Linked DNA regions of Drosophila melanogaster. The protein of the gene in region 2 purifies or fractionates together with the protein of the main gene of each other region. This does not show direct contact. Each region holds a gene or a part of one and is shown on either strand. Other genes may lie near its edges. The genes, in order: Syx5, Sec22 and CG42383.

The links.
Region 1: the proteins of Sec22 (region 2) and Syx5 purify together in Drosophila melanogaster (affinity purification with western blotting; 2 studies listed by BioGRID, with this or other methods). This does not show direct contact.
Region 3: the proteins of Sec22 (region 2) and CG42383 purify together in Drosophila melanogaster (affinity purification with western blotting; one study listed by BioGRID). This does not show direct contact.

What each region holds. Positions count from the first base shown.
Region 1 is NT_033779.5:16,304,379-16,310,847, reverse strand, and holds Syx5 (syntaxin 5), read right to left. Parts: upstream 3,503-6,469; 5' UTR 3,189-3,502; coding exon 2,519-3,188; intron 2,451-2,518; coding exon 1,717-2,450; 3' UTR 1,574-1,716; downstream 1-1,573. Other genes in the region: cni (cornichon), read left to right, coding at 258-407, 469-581, 705-848, 918-945; CG5861 (uncharacterized protein), read left to right, coding at 3,834-3,907, 4,016-4,154, 4,225-4,333, 4,528-4,889; c(2)M (crossover suppressor on 2 of manheim), read right to left, coding at 5,369-5,493, 5,551-5,685, 5,744-6,051, 6,104-6,469. UniProt on the Drosophila melanogaster protein: Mediates endoplasmic reticulum to Golgi transport.
Region 2 is NC_004354.4:803,299-809,978, reverse strand, and holds Sec22 (secretory 22), read right to left. Parts: upstream 3,904-6,680; 5' UTR 3,495-3,903; coding exon 3,414-3,494; intron 3,347-3,413; coding exon 3,237-3,346; intron 3,011-3,236; coding exon 2,709-3,010; intron 2,626-2,708; coding exon 2,477-2,625; 3' UTR 1,779-2,476; downstream 1-1,778. Other genes in the region: CG43867 (uncharacterized protein), read left to right, coding at 1-281; CG13358 (uncharacterized protein), read left to right, coding at 5,082-5,905, 5,977-6,058; CG13359 (uncharacterized protein), read left to right, coding at 6,553-6,680.
Region 3 is NT_033778.4:24,422,608-24,428,271, forward strand, and holds CG42383 (uncharacterized protein), read right to left. Parts: upstream 2,496-5,664; 5' UTR 2,410-2,495; coding exon 1,348-2,409; 3' UTR 1,319-1,347; downstream 1-1,318. Other genes in the region: prom (prominin), read right to left, coding at 302-397, 577-764, 835-1,067, 1,127-1,182, 3,078-3,366.

The DNA.
Region 1 (6,469 bases), on a different chromosome or scaffold from region 2:
TTCTTTAAATGAAATTATATTTGATTTATAATGGATAGCTGATTATTTATTAGCCTCATTTGCAATGTGACCGTACATCTGTGCTGCCTGATCGTTTAGATTAGTGCATCCCTGGCGCACAGCTGTCATCATCGCCGCCCTTGTAAAAAAAAAACAAGTGAGTCCCAGCGCTACAATTGCAAAGCCGAATTTTACGATAATAATTAGCAAGTCACTTTGATTAGCACCTGGAAGACGTGCTCCAGCGATTTTACAAGATGGCCTTCAACTTCACCGCCTTCACGTACATAGTGGCCCTGATCGGGGATGCATTCTTGATATTTTTCGCCATATTTCATGTCATTGCATTCGACGAACTTAAAACGGATTATAAGAACCCAATTGATCAGTGCAATAGCCTCAATCCGGTCAGTAAACTTACTGCTTACACCCGCAGTGCGCCCTGTAATGTATGTGTTTGCATTTCAGCTGGTTTTGCCCGAATACCTTCTGCACATCTTTCTGAACTTGCTCTTCTTGTTCTGCGGCGAATGGTTTTCGCTATGCATCAACATACCCCTCATAGCCTATCATATTTGGCGGTAAGTGACTCATTTGACCGTGTGATATAATGTGATTTGAGATCCGAGGAGATCAAGATTCACCCAAGCCCAACATAAGCACCCTTAAGCACTCATGCTTTGTAATACCCCTATCGCTTTCAGTTACAAAAACCGCCCTGTGATGTCGGGACCCGGACTTTATGATCCCACCACGGTCCTGAAAACCGATACTTTGTACCGGAACATGCGTGAGGGTTGGATTAAACTGGCCGTCTATCTGATTAGCTTCTTCTACTACATATACGGGTAAGTCTAATTGAGATTCATTGTGGCCAGGGTCCTCATTTGTCTAACGTTTCTAATTGCTAATTTTAGCATGGTTTATTCGCTCATCTCGACATAGGCAAGCTCTTGCCTGGGGATCTCAGTGTTGGCGCCAACGCATCAGCGTCGTGTATTAGTTGTCTAAACTCGGGTAGAGGACTTCCTTTTTTGGGGAAGAGTCCCCATCAACCGCGAACAATACTTCACTTGTAAATTCTAGTGTAAATCCATAAAGACATCTTGAAGCTTTGTTTTTTTCATACAATTTGTAATACTTTTCTGCAGTAAGAGATTGTAACATGTTTTTATTTTGATTATTTTTTGCATATCGCATCTTTGGTGTAGTTGGATTTTAAGCATTAAATAAAAGTCAAATCAATGTAACCAATTTTCATTTTTCTGTTTAGCATGAGGGACAGCGGAATTTTTGGCTAAACACGACGAACATGGAGCAACGAGCACTTAAGATAATAAAGATTATGAAAGGGCACTTAAACCTTATCAGCAGGGCAAACATAGATATAGTCTCTCTCCAATTTGATACTTGCATTACACGTTTTCTAAGGTAATATACAAGTTTCTTACATCAGCAAACATATTTATCATTCGGCTTTATATTTTGGAAATTATATTTAATTTTAGAGCTTCCATTAGAATGGAAAAATTCACCAAAGAACCACATGCTAAAATAAATGTATTTTGCTTTAGAACGTATTTATAACTTTATTTTACAATCGTTTCGGGAGGCCACAGCTTGGAATAAACAATATTGTGATTGAATCTTGATTAAAATAAAAAGCTGTATACATGGATAGGTACATGGGGCTTTTAATGGGCAACTGGCGTTTGATTACGACATAAAAACAACGAAGAACAAGAAGAAGAATATGAGAACGCCGAAGATTTTGATCATCAGCCAGCGATTTTTGGAGACGGATTGAAAGTATTTCAAGATCTCCCCATGGGCAGCCTCAATATTCAATTCCGCATCCGCCACATTCGTGTCAATACGCTCCACGATCTCTTCCTGCTCCTTAACCATATGTGCCAGCTGCTGGAATATTCCGCCGAGCTCAACGATGGTAGATTCTATATTTTGCATGGTCTCCGCCCGCTGCTGGACGTAATTATCGGAATCATCGTAGATGGCCATCTGTGTCTGGGTTGATAGGAGTGGTGTGGTATCGCTGCTCCCCATATCTATGCTGACCGCTTGGTTTTCCTCGCTGAGAAGCAAAGATCCCTGCTTGGCTGTCGAGGGGGAGACGGTGTGCGCGGCCAACGGACCTGGTCCCTGGCTAAACTGATCACGTCGCGTCTTCTGCTGCTTGAGGTTCTCCGTGCGCACCTCCAGGATTTGCTTGAAGTCCGTGCTCATGCTGGCCAGTTTCGATTGCAGGGCCAGTACCATGTTAGAGGAATGTGACACCAAATGCTTGCCGTTTGTGTGACGCCGCTGATCCTTGGAGATGTCCTGCAGTCGGGCAATTTGTTGATTTAAGGCATTTAGGTCGCCTTTGATGATATAGGTCAGCTCCTGAATCTCCTGCGGTCTGTCATCAAATAAGCTCTTCTTTTTGGCCACTAAAACGAAGATGGGAATTTTAAAGTTTTGAATATGACTTTAAGGGGTTACTAAAACATGTACTTACACATTGTGAGCTTCTCCAGTTTTGCGTAGGTGCTGGCTATGTTCTTGCCAATAAACCTGGCGACCATCATGAACTCCGAGTAGCTCTGAACCTGCTTAGCTTTGCGGGGATCGCGTATATTCACTGCCCGGGTGATATTTCGAGCCTGCAGGGAACGAATCGCATTGGCGAACTCGCCCGTTCGATCGCGTGCGGCCATGACGAATATTTCTGGTTCGGGTTCCGTTTCCTGCGGCTCCTCCTTCGATTGGTAAAACTGTGAACTAGTCGGAATGGAAGCGGGGTAGCTATAGTTGCTTTGGCTATCGTTATTGATGCCCGGTTGATTGCCGGTGACCACGGCGGCAGCGGCACTTAAAGTGCGCAGTGCGTGGCCCGAGAAGGCGCGTAGGTTCCACTGGCGGGCCGCCTTGCCGTACTTGTCGTCGGAGTAATCGGGAGTGGAAATGGAATCGCCCGACTGGTAGTTGTCTCCAATGTGGATGGCCGCCTCGTGACCAGTTGGTGGTGGAACCAGGGACTGTGCTAATAGTCCTACCGATCCGCCAGCTGTTCCCGTGCCCACAGATCCTGCGCCTGCTCCTCCCTGTTGATCCTCTTGAATGGTATAGGTACTGCTACTGCTGTAATCCTGCTGGTCTGTTTGATGAAGGCGTCTTCGGGTTTGCATCTCATTTCAGATTGCAGCTTTTACCAGGGAGTTGACGTTGCTGTTTTTCATATGCACACGAACGAAATGATCTGTTGGACTTTTCTTTGCGAAAATTTCCCCTTTGTTTTTCTCCTTTAATGCACTGGTTTACCGTTTGATGTTTGGCTCGTCACTTAGCTGGCAGGTTTGTGTGTCCTAAACAAAGTAAAATTTGGTCTCCGTTCAAGTATTTCCCAATGGTTTTGTCAAAAAATTCATAATAATTGCTAAAGGTTGCAGAAAACTCACTCAAACGCACACACACACACTCTTCTCACACACACGAACACACCTCCAGATGATAGATTACGATGACGTGTTGATATTTAAGCAACTATCGATAGGCACGAAACAGATTAAAACAGTTGCTACTTCTTTTCGTTCGGAAAGACACACGTTTTCCAATATTTCAAAATATTTATTTATAATAGTTATTATTAAAATATTTATTGTAAAATATTGTCTGCAAAACTAGCTTGTTTTTTATAGTCTGCCTGACATGCCGTCAGCCCTGTTAAGCACATATCGATAACCCACGGCAAGCAACGCTAGTTTTTTTCTTTTCAACTTTTAATTCTTCTCTTAATTAAGCCAAAATAAAATAGCCATAATTTATCAAAGAAAATGACACTGTATCACTTTGGAAATTGTGTGGCCCTGCTGACGCCGTACTACTTCACCTATAAATACTCCGGCCTGTGAGTTTACTTCTGGTTACTGGTGATTTGCCGACTGCCAAGTCCGCAGCTCTACCAGGTCAATAAAAAACTATTTGTGAACTTTCCCGGCTTATTATTTAATCACAGATCAGAATATGGAGCCTTCTGGAAGTGCGTGCAGGCGGGAGGCATTTATATATTCACACAGCTCGTCAAGATGCTGGTGCTGGCCACATTCTTCTACTCGGACGCTCCATCCTCCAGCGGCGAGTTCAACTTCTTTGCGGTACGTGTGCTTATCTTTGTTTACCTTCACCCAATTATTGAGGTCATGTTGTGGTTTCTTTGGTCTGCAGGAGATTCTTCGCTGCAGCATGGACATCGCCGATCTGCTTGGATTCGCCCTAATCTTGAGTCGCATACCCGGCAAGGGCCACTCAAAGCTCATAACGGCTGGACTTGGATGTAGGTTGAACGAACCAACTTATTTAAACTTAATTAATGATGAGGGTGGCTTTTAAAGATTGAAAAGTACTCTGTTCAGATATATTAATGTTACAAGAGCCAATGCCTACTCAACCTTTAATACCCCAACCCATATATGTATGACAACTTCCAAAAATTTAGTAAAAACTAAATATTTTCGTATACTTCCGCAGGGGCCACCGCCGAAGTGATTCTTTCCCGAGGTATCATGCTGTGGGTGGGTGCCCGAGGCACCGAGTTCAGTTGGATCTACATCCTCAAGTGTCTGGAATCGAACGTGCTTCTGGTGCAGCACATCACTACGGCCACCCTGATCTGGCTCTTCACCCGTCACGATTTGAACAAGGCATTAAAGCCGCTGGTTAGTCTACTTCTGGCGGTGACTGTCTTCAAAGGCGTCTGGCTGGAGGGCATGCTCCACATTCTGACCATTGGACCTTGGCTAACGGTGGCTGTTAAAGCGCTGGTGGCGGCCGTCATTGGATTCTGCACGCTGCACATCTATTCGGGTCTGGCCCAGCAGATCGGAATTTAAGCAATTGTGCCAAACACTCTGTATTCCTTTGTTTTTGTAACTTGTTTATTTTTTGGTGTTGTCAGAGAAATTGAGATTTTGTAACAAAGACAACAATTACGGTTTAGAGAATTACTCCAAATGTTAATGAATTATAGCTACGATAACGTAATAGTAACAAAGATAACAAACAACTTTTAATGGGTACACGAAACTAATATGATAATGAAAAAAAAACTATTTTTATAGACAGCAACAAGTAACATCTATAGAATTTTTCAATTCTTGAAATGAAACGAATTATCCAGGACATCGTTGCTCAATTGTACCATAAGATTGTATGGAAAAAGAGTAGATTAAAGCCATCTAGGTTAGAGATTGGCTCAACTTATATGTTATAACACAATAGCAATAACAGAAAACAAAACAACAACAAAAATGTGGAAGATTGTCAACTACAAAGTTGTTTGGTAATCTTGAAAAAAATTATCTAAAAATATTCACAGAGTCTCACTCAGCATAAGATTGTCTATTAGCTTAGCGGACTCTTTGCCAAGAGTAATTTGGTACATTTCCAGCGAATTAGCTCGCTTTGATATCTCTATAAAATGGTCTCGAACAAGATCTGAAATTTAAGCTATACGTTATTTCCAACACACATTTTGTTCTTTTTCGAACTCACACAACAAATGGAGAAAGGCTAACGAAGCCTTGATGCGACTATCAAACGTTTTTATAAAATCAATGGCATCGATTCCCGTGATTTTCGGATTATTACGCCAAATGCTTAAGAGACTCATCATTACGCTGTAGGTATCTGCAATGAGATTATATTTTATTTACGATAGCATGTTGTAAACATTGGCTGAACTCACCATCATGATTATCCTCACGGTATATGCCGTGCTCATTCATTTCATTATGATAATTCTGATTTACATCATCACGTGGCTGAAGTTGAGGTTGCACACAGTCTTCCACTTCAAGCGGTTCGGGCTGATAGATATGTGCCGCTTTATCCCTACATTTTGTAGCCTGCGATGGTCGCACAAATATCTCTTTAGAAAGATTCTCGGTAAACTCGCAGCCAAATATGGTTCTCAATGTGTTTTCTGCCTCGAATTCCTTTTCTTCATTACTGAGCTTAGGTCCGGAGTGGTTATGAAGAGCTAAAAAACTTACACTACATCAAAAAATTAAAAAGTTTTAAATAGCAAAATGTATAAGGCTCCTACTTATTATACAGTTTACAGAGAAGTTCCTTAGGGGGTTTCCGTAAATCCGAGGATTTTGGCACTATCACATTCCTTGAAAGGTATTCTTCCATATATTTCTGTCTATGCTTCACCAGCTGCTCCCGGGTGTATTCAATTCGTTTGTCTACTATTAGCTTTCTTTTCCGATTTTTCGGGTGGCTAAATGTTATTTCTCCAAAAGAATTTAAAACGGATGGCAACGACGGTTCACAAACTATCTGAGTTACTTCAGCTGGTTCAATGTTATGCGGAAAGATTTGGGTCATGATAGCATTGTCAGCTTGGAAAACATCGCAATCATCCAATCTGGGCATTTTATCCGGTAAGATGTCAGTTGGATCCTGA
Region 2 (6,680 bases):
GCTCGCTAAGAACCTCCCAGCGGCCAAACTTGGGTGGTGGCTCAGCGGTGGCCACCGGGTTCTCTACAAATGCCACCACAACGGCCCACAATACGCTCAATTCGCATGCGACACACACGCTTAACTCCAACCATTCGCACACGCTGAGCAGCTCCCATCACGCCGGCGGGGGAAGTCAACCGGGCACTCTGAGCTCGGGTCATCATCAGCACCACCATATCCAGCAGCACCACCAGCCTGATATCCTGAAGAGCACACCGGATCACCAGAGGATTAAATAGAGAAGAGTGGGATTGGAGGATCTCAAGAAGAACGATGGTTCCCTGCACGTTGAGGATTACGGAAAAGATAATCAAAAAGAGGAAATTAGAGAGTAGCGAAGAAGGATTAAAGTAGAGCTAAAGGATCACACATTGTACATAAAGGTGGAAAATCACAGCTAAACAGACATATACAACTAACAGATACATATGCACCGGCCTAGTGGCTACAAATATGAAACTAAAGATAGAATGATAGAAAGATATAAAGATAGACGGATGGATAGCGATAGCGGTAAAAATACGACTTAGCCTAATAGGCCTGGGATGGACCTTCTTCTCCTTGCGCACCACTCACTAAAGTTATTTTCTAAGCTAACGACGGTACCCGTACTCTAAACCTACTTTGTAAACCGCAGCAGCAGGCATATATATATAAATATATACTATATATTATTTTTTTTTGATAGTCATAAGCCCAGCGTACCCGAAAGTGCATGAGGGTATGCGTAGAAACGAAAACAGAACAAGAATCTCAAAGTTCAGATTGTTCCTGACTTATTTATTTATTTTTGATTTTTCATAGTTCAAACCAACATACAAGTAAAGGCAATGCAAAACACACCTATAAAAATGATATGTTTGAGTGTTATTGCTCTTCGATGCTTTTTAATGAATCTCAATTTGTAATTGTCCCTCCACGCGCAAAACTGCCTTCTGAATTTGTATAGATGTCGGAGCCAAGAACGAGAAAAATATAGTTATACAAAACGAAGCCAAAAAAAACAAAACAAGCGAACTATAGTAGCATTAGCAGAATCCAATTGAGAAAAGCAAATATTTTTTAAAGAATTTTGAGCCTAGTGCGGGCTATCAACCAAGCATACCCATCTATTGTATATCTAAATAGTTCCAGTTACGCCCCGACCCGCCCCGCCACGCCCGACTCGTATGGTTTTCGCATAAACTAAAACTTCGATTTTATAGACCGCGTAATTTATTTTCGATCCCACTCACCACCAGAGCTTCAGCAGAACCACAGCCTAGTACACGGAAGCCAGAGGAGGTTGCAAAATTCGGTAGATGATTGCTCTTCTCCCCAGTTAATTAATTATTGCAGACCATTTCACACATCCCCCCCCACAAAGCATATGCATTCATATGTAGTTATGTAGAGAGCGTATATATGTATTCGGATTCGATATTTCACAAAACTATACACACCAAATTACGATATAGCAGTGTATATGGCAACAGCGCATTTTTTTCCTAATTGTAAAGATTTGATATTACAAATTTATATGCGCTGAGACGCAACGAAAACGGACATTTAGCGGGACGATATGAGACCGAATGGGATCGGGATCGGATCAGATCGAGAAATTCATTGAGAAGAATCGTAATTCGAAGGCTTGCAAGTGGATATAAACTATAAAGGCGAATGTATCACATCACACTCAGTGAATCGAAAAATATATAAAGGGAAATTATCGATTAAAACTAAACCAAAAATCAGATGCAGTTTCTATCTTTCGGGCTTGGGTAGTGCATCGAACACAGTTTTGCCTTCTCTTTATTAAACAATATAAATTTATTTATTTGCCTTAATTTTACACATATAAATTGCCTAAAACTGTTATTGTTTATTTCCCTTTCTCTTCTTTTCTTTTCTTTCGGTTCGCTTGTTATCTTTTCTTTTTCTTTTGTTTTTTGCGGTGTTTTTGCAGCTTGTATCAAGCACTCCGCCGGATTCGGATTCGCTATGCAGCGATCCATCTACAATCTAGACATTTATACACACACACACGGATCGACGCTCATAATTTACAGATTTGGGTCGTAGTCAACCGACTTGGCTCAAAGGTCGTCTAAACTAAACCCGATTCGTAATCAAATATTTAGAAAACCTGCGCAACGGAAGCGCGAGGCGAAATGAAATGGGAGTTAATAATTAATGGAATCCCAGACCGTAAATAACGCAAAGGTAAGTTAATATTAGAAGTAAAACAATCCTCGGGAGCGATGCGTATGCTGGTAGGGGGTTTCGCTATTCACTTTTCGCTTGCCTATGATTCATAGATATGAATGAATATGGTGTGGTTGGTGGCGTGGAGTACAGGTGCACGCGTAATCTAAATGTCTTTTGGTCTTGCGTCCTTGACGCTTGACTCCAACAAAGAACGCGCCGCTCCGAGTGGCCATGGAACTGCTTGATATTACAGAACCCAGAAATACATGATGAACACTAGAAGTATCATGCCCAAGGCCATCGCCTTCACGTACATGGACTTTCGGTTGAGCAGCTTGGCGTCCTTCTTGTACTTCTGTGACATCATCGATAGGTTCTGGGTCTTGGTGTCGAGTTCTGGAAGGAAAAACGGGGTGAACGTCAGTTGAATCCCACAATCACGCGTAGATAGTCGCGTAGATAGTAGTAGTAGTAGTTACCCGCCAGCACTGTGCCACGTTGGAGCACGTCGTCAATGTTTTGCACCATGATGCGCTGCACATCCTGCAGCTGTGTGTTGATGTTGCTGATGTTGCGTCTGCGGTCCGTCAACTGTTTTTTCGCCTTCTGTATGTACACGTCAAACTCGATGAATGCGTATGGGCGAGTCACTGAGTTTACTCGCCGGCCGTAGTTAGCATGGAACTCCTGGGCCAGGTCCTCCAGGTAATTGAAGGCCAGTCGCTTTGAGTACATCTTGTCCACCATCACCAGGTAGCAGACGTCGTTCTCGATTAGGTAGCTGCAGGGAAAATGTGGAATATTTTAATTGGGGCGCCCATTGCATCTTCTGGCTTTCGCAAGCAGTGAGCGTTTAATTTAACTTCGTATCAAATTACATCTATACTCTTTGTTCCGAAACTAAATCAACTGTCACTGACTACCCGCGGAGCCGAGAAACCTTTGTACATGGTGTGATTTTAATGGTCTATGCCCTGGCAAAGGTGCCACGAATTGGGGCTACTCACTGGAATAGGTAGGGTCCGGTCTCGATACTGCATCGAGCCGGGGAGTGGGTACCCAGCTTGCGGAAGAGCATCTTAGCCTGGTTTTGGTAGTCCAGTATGCTGCGTCCGCTCTGAAAGTGAAAGCGACTTAGTTGCGGGAGCGGAACGGAATGCAACGTATTAGAAAGTGATGCACACGGGTACCTGCTCGTCATCCTGCATGGTCCCCACCAGAGGAAGGCCATCGATGACCCTGGCTATCATGGTCAGCAGCGCCATGGCTTCTGCTGTTCCTGGTTACGATTGCTCGCGGAACTACGGGGCTGCGTCTCAAGTCTTCTTGGCCACGGCTGCACTCTGCCGTCGCCTCCTTCCACTGGCTGCTACTTATTCCGATGTGGATCCGCTGCAGTCCAGTCACCAGTGTGTGAAGTTTGTGTCCGGTCGTCCTCTTCCACTTCTTGGATTTCACAACTCAGCCGATCGGTCGGTGCTTGCCGCAGTGCTCCTGCGATGCCCGGGACTTCCAAATGGACTCTGCCTCGAATCGGGAACGTTCGCTGCTACCATGAAAACTGTGTTGCAACGTCGCGGCGGGCGGGTGTCTGGGATTGGAGTGGATTGGAGGTTTCTGTGGATGTTTGTTGCAATGTAACCACGTCACCGGTATGTCCGTGTAAATATACCGAATGGTGCGAGGCATACCGAATACCGCAGAGTATCTCAGAGTACCGACCGCCAACGGTCACATTAACGGAAGTCCATTATACCATTCGTTTCTTCGTTTCTTTAAATGCACGATATGGAAATACGCTTTCAACTCGTTTTCAAGCCAGCATGCCCCTGAAAATGGCGCTTTCGAGTTTCCGGGCTTTCCCGCAAAGCTATTTTCCCAGGTCTACAGCTTTGACAGCTTGCGCTCTGCTGTAATGTGGAGTTTGCTTTTTGTATGCGTGTGTTGTACACAGGATGCGGATTAAGGATCCCCAGAAGTTCAATAGAAGTACAATACTTCGATTCACCCATGAACCTGGCGCCCAGATGCATTGTTCTATAGCTGTTTTGAGTCCCAATCCGACCAATTGGTCTTTGGTATTTTTATTTTTTATATTGGCAATCGAGTTGCGAATATATTATTTCAAATATTTAAATATAAATAAATATTTATTTAAATTATTAACCAACATAAATCGAAATCCCTGGCACGTCGCGCCGCTTTCGCAGACTCAAATCCGCTGGCGCAGATGCCGGAAGTGGGTTGGACCCCCCAAAAGTCGATGACCAAGCCCAACCGGTTCGCCCGCGAAGACCATCCTCTGCATGGACATCCACATCCATCCCCAGAAGGAAAAGTGGTTCGCCCGCGAAACCGGACTTGGACTTGAGGCAGGGACCCAACTATATGGACTACCTGTGGTACTTGGCGATGGAGCTGCGTGCGAATGTGCGTTTCAAGCGACCACCGGAAAAATCTTTGCACTGGGAAAATAATTCATATCGAATGCGACTTATTCATCTATGTATATTATGAATTGAAGCCCTGCAAGCGAATGCGAATAACCATTCCCATTTCTGCTCATACCGAAGAATGCTAAGATATACACAAGTTTGTGATCAAAGCGGGAAAGCTTATGACATTATTTAAAATGCTTGTACTGTGATCTTAAATCGAATGCATTTCAATTAACTCTGAGCCCATCGAGGACTGCGGTCAACCTATTTTCTCATCGTGTGATCGGATCACCCGCAGCGGAATGCGTGCGCTTCCGTTTTGCTCGGCTTGGCCTCCTTCCTCGTTCCGTTGAAAGCAGGTATGTATATATAAGCCACTGCTCCACCTAGAGGCTCCACAATACAAAGTCAGTCATGGCCGGGTCAGTTCGTGCGACGCTCCTGGGTCTCCTCATGCAGATCCTGTGCAATGGGCTGGCTGGTCAGCAGCTGCTCCTCACACGTCCCCAAAGGAGCCTGTTCGAGACTCCGCTGGGTCACGTAGAGCAAGTGGAACAAGTGCCCTCTTTAGGCTGGAATAGTGTTGGTAGTGGACTCGGAGTGGGCGAGTGGCCCTACAGCCCCGTTGGTCTCGGCCACATGAGCAAGGATGAGCTGCTGACCCTGCTGGAGGCCTGGAAGGAGGTCGAGGAGGAATCGGCCACAACAACGACTGCGTCGCCAGCGGATGCCAGCACACGTAGACCTCCTCCGCCTCCACTGCCACCACCACCACCTCCTCCGCCACGACCCACACCCATACCAGTCTCCGTTGCAATCCCGTCACCGGCTGTTCCGCCCTCCGGCACTCCCATTACAGTGCGGCTCCCAGCCTTTGTGCCTGTGCGTCTGGCTGCCGTGTTTACTCCGCTTGCCGGTGGACAAGCTGATAGTGCTGTTCCGTCTGCCAACGGAGTCGGAGGGGCTGGAGGAGATGATTTGTCCACCGATGACGTGACAGATGATGACGGCGTCTCTACCCGGCTCTTTCGCTTTTTGCCCATGCCAGGAGCTCGAACGAGACCGCAATCCAATTCACAGCCCAGGCAGCAATTTGTGGTGAGGAACACCCTGGACAGCGTGGATGCGGGCACTGCCCCTGTCAGGCAGCAGATTAAACCGGAAGTCCAGCCCAAGGCGACTGCTCCGCCTTCCATTCCCAAGTTCCCTGGCCACCCAACTCCCTTCTTCCGTCCCAGGTAAGCAGAAACGAAAGCGCTAGAGGTGGTCATCTGGGCAGCCGGCTCATTTCCCTCCATTTTTGCTCTAGATTTGGTGTGCCACCGAGTCTGGCCAACGCTCGATTCGAGCTGGTGCCCTCTTCCCAAATCATCGGCGACTGGCGGGTGTGAGCCTGTGCATCACTTGACTGACCAAAACGGAGTACCTTCCGGCGAACCAACCAGGATCGAGCTTTTGAAGGAGGCTGTCTTGCTAGGCTGTTTCCACTGTTGCTTATGTATTTTATTTTTTATTGAATAATAATTTTTTTTTTTTTTTTTGTGTCCAAATAGAATATGCAATCAGTCATAGATTAGCGACATACTAACTGCTTTCGAATTGAAGTAGGCACTTTTTCTGCTCCAATGGCCATGTGAAGCCATATATGTACATCTATTTGTATGTCCTCTGAAATCGCTCAGCTTTTAAAACAAAGAGCAGTCTGAAGAGTACATATAAAGATAGCGATCAGCCCGAGTATTTAGCCATAACAATTTATAGTATTTTTCGAATCCTAAGATTGGAATATTCAGTTCAATCGAATATGTATGCAGTTTCCCCTCACACAGTTTTATAAGTTGGCCTGAAGTTTTTGTACAAAAAAATATAAATTTTATATTTAGAAATGAAATGCTCTGCATCTTTTAATGCCCTCTGCGACGTGGGAACGCCGCGTCCGAACTTGCAGCGGTTAATTCCCTATGTCGAGCCGCAACAGGACGACGAGGAGGATATGGTAGTGTGGTGCCGGTC
Region 3 (5,664 bases), on a different chromosome or scaffold from region 2:
GTTGTCCGCATATTAGCATTAACTTAACTTAGAATGCACTTTAAATATAGAAACCACAATAAATTCAGAGGGGAATAGTGGATTATTTGAGCCCCACTCAAAGGTCGCACCCTTATGGGGCCGTAATTTATTGTGGCTGCTTTATTGTCATGTTTGGCCAATATGGGGGTGGTTGGTGGTGCGTAGGCCTACTGATGGTGCATGACCAACGGCGGAATTTGGGTCAAGTCCGTGAGCAGACAATCGCATGGCCATCGCTTTGCAGGGCATCGCATGGGAGCACTTAACCATCCGTACTCACCCAGGCTAAGTGTCGTCAGTGAATCATACGCCAGCTCAAGGCCAGTGTGTGCGGATATTTCCGCTTGAATCGGCTCGCCAAGGAGAACATCCACGTCTGCGGGAGAGAGATGCACACAATAAATTCAGACATCTACATCTACATCGCACTGCGGGAAAAGTTGCAGCATAATGCATGGATCGAAGGCTATAAAATGGGCGGGAGTTCGAACTCAAGTGGTCGGCGACACAAAGTTGGCCAACTTTGCCGACCGACTGTCTGGAATGACTACTGACCTTCCAGGTCTTTGACGACCCGCTCCACGGAAACGTGGAAGCCATTATCCAGTTTTTGCTTGATTTGTAGATGCGTGTCCTTCAGGAAGACCTCCACGTCGTGCACGGCTGACTTGACCATCTCGGGCGTCATCTCGATTCCGGCGGACAAGCGACTGTTGGCGTAAAAAATGCTGAAGTCGCTCAGCCTGCAAAATGGGTTTCCCCGGCATTTACTCTCCATTGCCCTCAAAAGTTAAGCTCTAAGTTTGAACGCACGTCAGCAGGATGAAGACGACCCACAGGGTGACCAGTCCGGCGCTCTTGCGACATCGTAAGCTCTCCTCCAGCGACTCGTCCCGGATGTGACAGGGTGCATTCCGTATGTGGTCGACCTCCTCCTGGGTGGAGCGACGACCGCAGCACCAGGCACACGTGGCAATCAGGGGAACCAGGGCCAGGATGGCGAACACGCTCATCAGAGCAATGAAGCCTGACTCGATTTTAATGGCCTAAAATGGGAAACAGAACTCTTACGATATGACCAAGACTCCGCTGTACAACCACTCACATTGGAGGCAAAGTCCAGCAGACTGGTATTTTTGTGTAGAACATCGCGTATGGAATCTGTAATGTCATAAACATTATTCATAGTAATACCCTAATATCATTATCTGCCTGAGGATTAACTATTAGTATATGAGTATCATCCATAGAACTAGCACAACTTAGCCCATTGTCCCATATAAAACGTCGTAAAAATAGATATTTAAACATGTATACAACTGCCTTTTATTGCACGATGGGTTCTGAAGCATCGCTGGACAACGGCTCCACCTGCTCCTCGTTCAAATGTTGGATGACCACCACGTTGCAGAGATTCGCCTGCACCAAAGTACGGGTGTCCGATTCGACGAGTTCCTGTCGCGGAAAGGCGGTCATCAGGACAAAGCTCCGGTCAGAGAACTCGGGTCTGGCAAGGCGTGCATACTGATAGAGATCCCCGACATTGTGGGTGAGATTGAAGCGTCCTGCCACACGACTCCCATCCGCCATCCTCAACTGCACGGTGGTCGTGTCGGCCCGTTCGTTGAGCTGAAGGCCTTGGGCTTCAACGGGCATTGGGCCTACGACGAGTATCTGGGGCGAGGGGCTGTTCAGCGGTCGACCTGGTCCCATGAACTGTTTCCGGGACAAGTGACGATAGGATTCGTTAGTGTGATCCTGCACGCTCAGCTGGACTCTGGGCACCCGGAGCATTTCCTCGGGGAAATCCCCCCTCAAAATAGCGCGGAGAAATCGCTCGTTTTCGGGCAGTGCATATAATCTCAACGAGCCGTCGTCCAGGGAGAATCCCTCAGACCAGAGGTGAAGGACGACTATGGTGTGCTCGTCGTCGGCCGGCTCCGTATCCGAATCCTCGGTCGCGGATCGAGGAGGCGGATTGATGGGATGGGCGCTTCCCAACCGATTGCCATGACCCCAGACCCGCAGACTGCGGTCGCTGTCGTTGTTGGTTATAGCCGGCGTGGAGCTGTTGATGTTCACCCGCTTGCCCGCCGGAGTGTCATGATCGGTGGAGCTGTCCGATGCACATGCCTGGTAGCCATCGTGGTCGCCCTCCTTCCGCCGGGATATCTCACTCAGCAGGGAATGGAGATCCCGATTGCTCTCATTCGCTTGCGAGTGCTCGGAGGACTTCTCGGGCTCTTGCTTTTTGGAAACCGCCTCCGATTCGTAGGTGCTGCTGGCTACCTCCAGGGACCAGTTGTTGGAGCTCAGATACTGACGGGCCACCTCCTCACGCACCCCATGCCGTTTCATGAAGGTGCTCAGCTTCTGCTCATCGGTCATCTGGGCAGGGACGAACAACCCTGGGGCTGTTTCGTCGGATTGAATTTAGAAACACATATCGTCCGAAGGGGGATCACTGTAGCTAGGCCGACTGGGGCTTTGGCTCGTTCCGAAAGTCCTTGTGGCAGCCACAGACTCTCGCCCAACATGCATTTTTAATGCCTAAAGGGTCAGGGACGAGGCTAAGACTACTAAGGGATTAGTGCCATTGAAACTATTTAATTCAAGCTTGTTTTAAACGTAATACCAAGCCCTGTAGCACTTCGAAAAAATATTTTGTATAGAAAACTATCAGAAAGAATTTTATTAAAGGTCCTTTGCTAAAATAAAATATTAAAGTAGTTTTGGGCGAATGTAATAGCTATCATAAGGACACCACTAATAAAACATTTAAAGAAAATCCGAATACGAATCGACATAATTTATGCGGACACAAGTTTTTCCCTGTGCACAATTTATATGAGGTCTTCCATCTGGGTTGAATAACTTGCCCACCTATCAAAGGCTCTCCTGAATTTACATCTCTAATGCCTTCATTGTTGGCAAGCAGACGTTCTGAATACCAGCCCACACACCTGGAAACCCTTTCCCCGATATCATTCGATCCTACACGGGCACAAGGATGCAGGACCACGCCCTCTGCGAGGGGCGGACATGGAGGGACTTACCCAGCGGCAATTCCTCGGGCGTGATAAGCGATAAAAATTCACTAACGTAGGTGAATATAAATGGTCCTGGCGCAATGTCCATGCCTGGTATGCTGTAGGTAAAAAATGTGGCTGGCGTCGTTGTTGGCGGCGCCGTTGTTGTTGTTGTGGCTAATGCTATTGTGGATCCGGTCAGGGCGGACGTGGTGGGTCCTCCAAGGGATGCGAAGCCCGCCGACATCGCTGCTGATGACGAGGACATAATTGTTGTTGCGGCTGGCGTTGGCAGTGTTAGATTGCGCTGGTCCATCTTCGGCCGGATGGCTTGGTTCTCCGCCCTGCGAATGAATTAATGCGGAACAGGCATGGCCATGAATAGTCGGGTAGAGCGCGGGAGCGCGGAGAGGCGGAGGGGCAGAATGGAGCTGAGCCGTATCGGGCCAAACAAAAACCAAACACTCACATGGTGCCCCGGAGAATGCTGTAAAATATTCCCGGAATTTTATGTTCCAATTATGCATTCATATGTATGTTCCTACGCTTCGGGTTCCAAAAACACCCAAGTAACTAGCTGGGCCCCTAGTAACTCACGAAGATTATGTGACATTCGCCAAATTAATGAATATTGCAGCTTCGTGGGGAATTCTCACATATTTCCCACACAAATTGTTTCTGTGGTACCTAAATTTTGTTTATTAAATACGAAGTGACCTAACCCCACTAGGAGCGGTCTGTATGTAATCTTCATCAAATTACGTATACGCCGCGTATGTTACACATTCTGCAATGTTTCACTATCAGGATAAGATATATGTCACATACTAATAAACAAAAGTACAATAAAATATCATTTAAATATTGATATTGATTACTTTACAAAGCAGCTTGGTTTGCTTTATTAAGCATACGCAGCGTGGGCGGGAACTGAATTCCCGCCAAGGTTCTGTTCCATTTAAGTGGCGTCCCTGAATGTCGCCGTGAATTGAATTCTTCACCTCTTAATTCTATTAATTTTCATTTCAGTTCTCGCTTTGTTGCAATCTTGTGCTGTCTTTGCCCTTTCCAATGCTGTCAACACACAATCGAGCTAAAAATCGAGCAAACTAGCTAGCCAAAGGGTCTCTCTTTCACCTCCTGCAGTGCACACATCAATGGGTAATGACTTTCAGAGACTGTAAAATCACTCTTTCACTGTTTTCTCTTTTCTATTTTTCGGTTCTGGGAGCAGACATCTCTTTCGGGCCTGGACAAGTACGGACACCCCGGCAGAAGCCCCTCAAGTGGCCGTTGCAAGCCCAACTCATTTGTTTTCCTTGACAATACCACGTTCGCCGTTTGCCGCCTTTATCGCCCATTCATGCTGGCCAATGGCCATACTAATTGCTCTGCCAGGGGACTTTCCGAATTAGACCAAACCAATACAGATGGCTGGCCGAACCTAAACAGTCTTGAGCTAGAAAGTGGGTCATTAAAACTCGATACGCCGATGCATTGCGTCCCCACCCCGTTCGCATACGTGTGTGTGTATGTGCGTATGTTCGTATGTATGTGCCATCTCCATCTGTATGCTCTGTATGTGACCGCATGTGCGATTATGTTAGCCAAGTGGACACGAGTCAAGGCGCTCGAATGGGCTGGCCAAGCTCTTCGAAGGCAACTCGATACGCAATGTGCGGACTTGTTGTCGGCTATTATCTCCCTATTATTGTAGCCATTTCTCTCCTTGTTAGAAAGATATTAGTGAAAGCCGTTCAATGATAACAGGAGGAGTATTATGGATCGAGGTGGCAGAGTTCAATGCATTGGGTCACGCCGAGTAAAAGGCTTTCAGAACGGCTTAGAGTGGAGTTATTCACGTTACTAACGGTACGGTGGATAATAAAAGAAGTTCGATAATGGTTGTGCGGCAGCTCATGGGTGAAGTGGTACTTAGCTAGTACAAAGCAAATTTCATCGAATTCCAAAGTTGAGTGCATTCTTTTAGGCGCAACTTTCAAAGATGCAGTAAGCAATTGAGTGTTGCATACTTACTGGCGCCCAAATTATTGTTGAAATACCAAAATACCTACCAGAATGGAGTTTTGTGTGTTACCTCGTGTATAACATTGCCAACATTTAAGACCCACATCAACAAAGTCAGCAGTTAGTTCGGATTAAACATAATGAGTCAGACTTAACGCCCCAGTTTGTGCTAATGCACCGCATTCGATTAATTAACGAATTGCACGGCAAACGAACTTACGCACCTCGTTCGGGATCCCAATTAATTGATTGATGTTGAATCGGAGCCCTTTCTCTCTTTCCCTCCTCGCTAAACACTTTCACACACTTAACACAGGCAAATATGGCGTGATTATGGGTTTGACTTTGCGAACCATGCTTTTAATTGAACGTTATTTAAATTCGATTGCAATTAGTTTGATATGTTGATTCGATTCGTTTCGATTCGATTCGTTTGTTTGAACGTTTCGTTACCGAAACTCGGAATTGAGTTGAAATCGGTTCGTAATTGAGCGAATTGGAATACGGGGATACGGCTCACGTTTATTGACCGTTTGCGATTTTGCGACTATTTTTCGGTGTTTACATTGCATGCAATCAAGCCGAC